Linked DNA regions of Sus scrofa. The protein of the gene in region 1 purifies or fractionates together with the protein of each later gene. This does not show direct contact. Links are inferred from orthologs where the notes say so. Each region holds a gene or a part of one and is shown in the gene's direction. Other genes may lie near its edges.

Region 1 (3,645 bases):
AAAAAAAAAACAAAAGAAAAGGAATGTGTTTAATTTAACAAGAAGTAATTAATAGCATGGGTGGTACCAGGGTATAGTAAAAAACATTAGTGCAGGTGAGACCCGAGTTGATGGAGAGAGGGAGTATTGAGACCCGAGTTCTCATTCAGATTCTATCACTGTGTGACCTCAGGCAAATGACCCAGCCTCCCTGGTCCTTATTCTCATCTTTATTATTATTATTATTATTATTATTATTATTATTATTATTTTGGTCTTTTTAGGGCCGCACCTGCGGCACATGGAGGCTCCCAGGCTAGGGGTCAAATTGGAGCTATAGCTGCTGGCCTACACCACAGCCACAGCAACACCAGATCCGAGCCACATCTTTGACCTACACCACAGCTCGCGGCAATACCAGATCCTTAACCCACTGAGTGAGGCCAGGGATCGAACCTGTGTCCTCGTGGAGGCGAGTCGGATTCGTTTCTGCTGCGCCACGACGGGAACTCCTTCATTACCACTACCACTACTAGTATTACTATTACTGGTCGTGCCCACAGTATGGGGAAATTCCCAGGCCAGGGATCGACCCGAATCCTTAACTGCGAGGCCACCAGGGAACTCCCTCTCATCTTAAGTAAAGTGGGAGAGTTGGATTTTGTCCTTCTGCCTTCACAGCCCTGGTACTTCATGAGGGAGGGGTTAGATGATCAGATGATGAGGGGTTGGAGGGAGAAAACATGGTGTGGCTTGGAGACGGGGAGGGATGGGGAACAAAAGAATAGAAGGAAGAGGCCAGGTGCTAAATATAGCCCCAATCGGGACTAGGACCAGCTGGAGCCAGCCAAGCTCCAGGGGAGGGGCTGGAGTCCTCATGTGCTTTTGGCTCTTTGGGTAGAGGAAAGACCCAGGAGTCAAGCCAAAAGGAAGATCTGTTTAGTTCAGTGAATAGTGTGAGGTTCCAGCGCAATTACCTTGTAAAATACCAGAATGACTCTCTGGGTGCCTTTGCCATCACACCAGTTGGCAGAGTGGTTAAAAACAAAACTCACCAAATAATATGCAGGCCTCCCTTGCCTGCTGTGACTTGCACTTCAGCTCTAACCTCTTGCCTCTTCCTGCCCAGGAGGCTACTGCAGAGATCTCAAGACCCCTTCAAATTGCCCCTGATTCTGCTTTTAGGTCCACCCAGAACCACCCACTTCATGCAAAGAAAACCAATACCCAACAAACAGCCGGTGCTGTAATTTGTGCCCGCCAGGTGAGAGAGATGCTAACCCTCTAGCCCCGTAGTGCGACCCCCCCTTGGTCTGCTGGCAGATGCAGACCCCGTGTGTCAACTGTCAACTTGCGTCCTCGATGACCCCTGGATGGGATGTTCTGGGGCCCCTCTCTGCAGACCCAGCTCCAGGGTTCCTGTCTCTTTTATGTCCCCCACCAGACTACGAAGGCTGGAGGGGTCCAAGACTGTCATCTTTGAGTCCCCTTTCCTAAAGCCCAGCCTAACTGTTTTTCGATAAGTGTCTGACTTATAGAGTTGGCTGGAGGTACCTCACTTCCTGCTCTTTTCCAGGACAGAAACTGGTGAACCACTGCACAGAGGTCACTGAAACAGAATGCCTTCCTTGCAGTTCCAGCGAATTCCTAGCCACCTGGAATAGAGAGAAACACTGTCATCAGCACAAATACTGCGACCCCAGTGCGTGGGCTGCCGGGGAAGGGGCACTTGGGAGCCAGGTTGATATTCCAGCTCATTCCTGACAGCACAGCCTTTCTGTTTTGTTCTGTTTTGAATAGCCAGGGTCTGTTCTGATTGGGTTGGAGTCTGCGTTGTCCTGGTTGGTACCTAATTTGATTGCCATCCCTTGGCAAGGGTCTAAGAGGAAAAACAAACAGGAAGTGTGAGGAACAGGGACCCCCTGCCACCCCGAGCATGGCCAGCAAGGGGTTCCCATCCTTTCTGCCCATCTCTGCACAGACCTAGGTCTCCAGGTCCAGAGGGAGGGCACCTCGAAAACAGACACCACTTGTGTGTGCAGTGAAGGCCATCACTGTACCAACAGCGCCTGTGAAAGTTGCACCTTGCACAGCTTGTGCTTCCCTGGCCTCGGGGTCAAGCAGATGGGTAAGTGTCCTGTCTGGGAATCAGCTGTAGAAGCAGGCTCAGAGAGGAGGCAAGGGCCAAAGGAGAGGGGCTTGGTAGTGGGCACTCAGCCCTGGAGGTGGAGGGACCTGTCCCCATGGGTAGTTTCACTAGAGTGGGTGGGAACGGCAACCTTTTCCTTCCACCTCCTGCCATGGTGATCTGCCTCGGGAGGGCAGTGGGAGAAGCCTTCCTGGGGACTGCCTGACGGGGGGAAAGGTGCTTCAAGCAGGCTGCTCTTCCTATCCTGCCTGTCCCTTGGTTCCCTTGAGAGCCAGACAGGTGGTCCACTATGATGCTTAATGCTTCCTCTTCCCTCCCAGCGACAGAGGTTTCTGACACTATCTGTGAACCCTGCCCAGTTGGCTTCTTCTCCAATGTATCATCTGCTTCAGAAAAGTGTCAGCCTTGGACAAGGTATAAGGACGCATCCCTTGTATTTCCTGCCCCAAGGGCCAGGGACCTCCATTCTATCTGGCCACCTGCCTTTCTGCTCCCCATGGCCATGCACACTCGTACACCTGTAGAACTTCTAGAGTGACCTCCTGGCCTAGCAAACGGACACCTTTCCAGCATTTATTTTTTTTCCCCCTGTCTTTTTAGGGCTGCACCTGCAGTACACAGAGGTTCCTAGGCTTGGGGTCAAATCGGAGCAGCAGCTGCTGCCCTATACCACAGCAATGCCAGATCCAAGCCACGTCTGCGACCTACACTACAGCTGACGGCAACGCTGAATCCTTAGCCCACTAAGCGAGGCCAGGGATCGAACCTGTGTTCTCATGGATACTAGTCAGATTTGTTTCCACTGAGCCACAACGGGAACTCCAACACTTTTCAGCAGGTCTTGCCTGTTCTCTCTTGGTGGGAAGAGATACCGCAGATCGCTAATCTTCAGTGAAAGGCTCCCTTCTTGGGGGCATGTGACATCCCTCCTCTTTCCTTGTACCCCTTCCTCTGCTCCCCATTCCTCCTCCTCAGCTGGTTTTCTAGGCTTTTGTTCTAGGCTCTTCCAGCCCATCCCTTTGCCCGCCTGCCCTGGGCCATCTCATCAACATCCATGGCTTCAGCCACCATCTCCCTCAGGTGGTTCCCAGTCAACGTCCATCTAGATTTGTCTCCTGGGTCCCTGACTGTTGTATCTAACTGCGAAGGGTACACCTCCACGCAGGTGACCCACAGGCACGTGCCAGCTCCCCTCCCCCCTGTGTAACACGCTGGCATGCCTCCTTACCTGCCTCCCTGCCTCTGCTCTCTCTTCCTCAGCTGCTCCCCCATCCTTGCGCCAAGTTCGGATCATGGCACTCCCTATATAATATGCTTCATGGCTCCCTGTGCCTTTTAGGGTGAAACTCAGACTCCTGTGCATGGCCTCTGACCTTCCAGCTCCGTTTCCTGACCTCTTCCCACATCATGCCGGCAACCCCCTCAACACACTGTCTGTTCTGTTCTATCACACTCTTCTGCCTGGCATACTCTTCAACACATGCCTGATTAACTTTTTGCATTTAATTTGAAAAAAA
Region 2 (4,117 bases), on another chromosome or scaffold:
GAAGAAGTTTTTAGTCATTGGGAATCAAGCATGCATTTCTTTTCTCTGTATCACAAGCTGTTACAAATACTTTTACTATTAACATTGGAACAGAAGCCCTCCTGTTCTGTTACTGACTGGCAGGCAGAAATGACGGGGAGGAAATGGGAAATGGTTCAGGGTCTCGGAATTCCCCTGGCTGCCTAATTAAGTGGCTTGTTATTTGGAAGTTTTTTTTGAAATATTTGCCCCCTGGAGTTCCCCTGAGAGAAGAAAGCATCCGATATCATTGACAATGAGTGTCTTCACAGAACATAAATTAAAAAATTCTCCTGCCGCCATTCAACTAATACTGCATGCAACTGTCTGTCTTCACCCCATTGCTAAAGAGGGGGCTGGAAAACGTCCCTGACTAGTAAAGGTAGTATTTTGTATTTACAATTTTTTTCTGACAGTTAACTTTTAAAATGTGATGGACAAATGGGCTCCTTTATGGTTCGTGTACGATTTACATATACACACATCTACATAAATGTATATATTCCGTTCTAGCCACATTCAGAAAAAAGGGGGAGTGAAGCCTGGCCTGAAACACCGTGTTCACTTTGCTAGTGATGAAAATAGGACACTTTTCGTTAATGCATTCGTCTCCAGAAGAGAAAAACAGAAAAGATAGTGATTATATAATAGATATGCCCCCCAACATTATAGAATCAAGGCTTCAAAATTAATCTGAGGCTGTTCTGCTTTCCAACACTTGGCTTTTTTCCCATCCCCAGGGCCAGCTGTGGAAGGTTGACGCCAGGCAGCTGCAAAGGGGAAATGGTTACAGCTGTTTACTTAGTTGCAGCCGAAACGCCTCCGGGCTGACTCCACCCTCAAACGCCGTCATCCACGCCGAGGGGAGGGTCCCATTGGAGGAATCCGGCCGGGAACTAATCCCGGCGAGTCGACGTGGGGAGAGGTTCGCCACCCGCGCCCGGGCGTTTCCCCAGGGCTTCCAAAGATTCAAACTCGACGGCTCTCGCCACGTCCCGCTCAGGAGGATGAGAGGGACAGCGAGGGAAAGTGCTCTCGCAGCGAGATTGAAGATTAGCACACCAAGCTCACGCCCAGCCCTGCCTTCCCCTGAGGGCTGACCGCGCGCTGGGTCCCGCTCTCCGCCCACAGACTCCGGGGCGCCCTCGCAGAGGGAGTGACGCGCACCCGGTCGGCGCGCTGACGTCATCGTGCGTCTGCGTGGGCCCTGAGCGGGCGGGGGGGGCCCCAGGAGCTCTAACTGCGCAGCCCAGCCGGCAGTTCAGCCCGCGTCGTTGCTCCCGGGACTGTGGAGGCTCCTGGTGGCACTGCTGTTTCGTGTTGGACGCGTCTGCCCTGTGGTGAGTGCAGGTCCTTCCGGACCCAGGCCTCGCGGGGCTGGGTCGGGGCGCGCAGGCCGCGGGGCCTGCCTTCCCCGAGACTGCAGTTGGGCTGGGGAGGACAGGGCCGGGAGTCGGGGGTCGCAGGTAGCAGTTAGCTCTTTGCTACTCTACTGTCGAAGATGCTTTTGTTTAATTCGGAAGCTCCAGTTCCAAGACATGCTGTCGAAAATAATTTTTTTAATTGACCTGTTTACAAGTCTACTCTGGCCGCTTCTCACTTTTCTGGCCCTTGGCCTTTGGCCAAGATGTTTTAAGAGTTTTTGCAGGGTTTTAAACTTAACCCTCGGTATTCCTTTATTTAATATATTCAAACGGAGACAGTAACGTATCGGCGAGATCTCTTGTTTCAGATAGGTACAACCCCGCTTTGCCACTTTAGTATTCTATTGTATATTGCGAGAAATAACTCGGGGAAATTAATAAAATTCCATAATTTCTCTTCTTTTTCCTTGCAGTCTGTCTCCTTCCCCTTCCCCCCAGCCACAGTTTGCCTAAAGAGGGCAAATCCTGTACAGTTCCTGCAGATTAAAAATATGCAAAGATAGGACCTCAAGTCCTTGTGTAACGGAGGCATTCATTCAAGCGGTCACATTCCCAAGGCCAGTGTTTCATAGGCCATTGTGCTGTGTTTTGTTTTGTGAGTTGCTTTCTGCGAATTGTTGCTTTGGAATTGTGAAGGCATTGTATTCACGAGTTCCTGGTGAATTTTAACTCTTAGTAGTTTTTTTGCCTAGTTCTGGAGAGACTTGACATTAAGAAATAACGTTATTGTCTGGATAACTGCTGTACTGTTGATGATGGGTGCAGTCTATTTTTCACCCTCCCTTTTTACCGCTAGCAAATTGCCATAGATAATTATCCTTAAACTAAATTATAAGTTGTCACCAGAAGAGGGGAGGAGGAGTTCCCGTTGTGGTGCAGTGGAAACGAATCCAACTAGGAACCATGAGGTTGTGGGTTCGATCCCTGGCCTTGCTCAGTGGGTTAAGGAGGTCTCAGACGCGGCTCGGATCTGATGTTGCTGTGGCTGTGGTGTAGGCCGGCAACTATAGCTCTGATTGGACCCCTAGTCTGGGAACCTCCTTATGCCCCGGGTGGCCCTAAAAAGCGCGCGCACACACACACACACACACACACACACACACACACACACAAGAAGAAGAATAGGGGAGGAGACCAGGGGCGAAGTATTTTACTATGTCCATCTGTCTTCAAAGTAGTACATAAAAAAAAAAAAATGTGTACTTATTGCTAAGGGGAGTATACTGCATTTATTTTAAAAGGCTTTGCAATTAATTTTGGTGACAAATTGCTGGAATTAAGATGTATTATTTAGGAGTTCCCGTCGTGGCGCAGTGGTTAACGAATCCGACTAGGAACCATGAGGTTGCGGGTTCGTCCCTGCCCTTGCTCAGTGGGTTAACGATCCGGCGTTGCCGTGAGCTGTGGTGTAGGTTGCAGACGCGGCTCGGATCCTGCGTTGCTGTGGCTCTGGCGTAGGCTGGTGGCTACAGCTCCGATTCAACCCCTAGCCTGGGAACCTCCATATGCTGCGGGAGCGGCCCAGAAATAGCAACAACGACAAAAGACAAAAAAAAAAAAAAAAAAAAAAAAGATGCATTATTTAAAGTATAAGTCACTTTTAGAATTTACTGAATAAATTGAGAAAATTATAAACTGTATTTACTGTGAGAATATGGTTTTCTAAAATAGCTTTTGTTTTTTCTTTTCAGATTTACAGTCCTGAAGAGTCTACTTTTGCCCTCTCATTTTTTCCCATTGAAGTAATAAATCCAGTTGTGGAGACTCAGAAACTTTATGAAGGGATATAGTTTGCATTCTGTGCAATGTAATTTTGTGTATGAATTATATTTTTAATTTATGAAGGGTTTTCAGAAAGAAGGCTAGTAGGGTTAATTATTGGTACATTACGCATGAATAGTGATTCTGTTGATAATGCAGTATCTTCTTAGGCTTATGTGTTAACACTAGAAAGGACAAACTGTATCTTGATAAATATTTACCTTTAATTACAAAATGAGTAATATACATGCATGATTCTTAAACAAAAAAAGTTAATTTTTTAAGAAAGTTTCTCCTGTGAAAATTTTATGGTTAACTAGTTAAATTTATGGAGAAAATACCCTCAATTGATCAAGTGTAATAAACTGTTTGCAAAGTTAGGAAGAAAAACAACATAATGATGCTGCAGGTAATGGAAACAAATATAGACAATATTTAACAAAGATGGAAGAGTTATCAGTTTTTGAAGGAAGCAGAATTCATTTCCTTTGACATCACACAGGCTTCAAGAAAGCTAGTAGGTATTGACATCCCCGAAAGTTGTTAGCTGAAGCTAATTTAACCTTCTTAAGTAAATACTGCGTTGGTAAACTGTGAAATTAGCTTTTAGATAATGCGACCATATGGAGACTTTAATTCTTTTTTACTAGAATAAAAGATTTTTTAAAGTATCATACTAAAGTGCTGGTAGGGAAAGAAGCCTGCATTTAGTTTTTTTCCTCTTGTAGAATAATAATTAATTGGCTTTATAACCAGGCTTTGTAACTTATAACCAAAGGCAAATTAAAGGCATAATTTAGGTATTCTATGCTTGTTTAGAATTTTGGGACTATAAACCTCTGTTTTAACATTTTCAGAAGTGTGTTAGCTTCTTTCATGCTGTTAGGTTAGTATTGTACCAAATAATGAGCAAA

Evidence for each region.
Region 2: the proteins of CD40 (region 1) and baculoviral IAP repeat-containing protein 2 purify together in Homo sapiens (affinity purification with western blotting; 4 studies listed by BioGRID and IntAct, with this or other methods). This does not show direct contact. The link is inferred for Sus scrofa from reciprocal best matches to the Homo sapiens genes CD40 and BIRC2.

Annotation. Positions count from the first base shown.
Region 1 is NC_010459.5:48,288,973-48,292,617, forward strand, and holds part of CD40 (tumor necrosis factor receptor superfamily member 5 precursor), read left to right. Parts: intron 1-1,164; coding exon 1,165-1,243; intron 1,244-1,533; exon of another isoform or gene 1,534-1,555; coding exon 1,556-1,681; intron 1,682-1,960; coding exon 1,961-2,107; intron 2,108-2,448; coding exon 2,449-2,542; intron 2,543-3,645.
Region 2 is NC_010451.4:33,040,387-33,044,503, forward strand, and holds the start of baculoviral IAP repeat-containing protein 2, read left to right. Parts: upstream 1-1,220; 5' UTR 1,221-1,358; intron 1,359-1,855; exon of another isoform or gene 1,856-2,037; intron 2,038-3,133; 5' UTR 3,134-3,249; exon of another isoform or gene 3,250-4,117. UniProt on the Homo sapiens protein: Multi-functional protein which regulates not only caspases and apoptosis, but also modulates inflammatory signaling and immunity, mitogenic kinase signaling, and cell proliferation, as well as cell invasion and metastasis.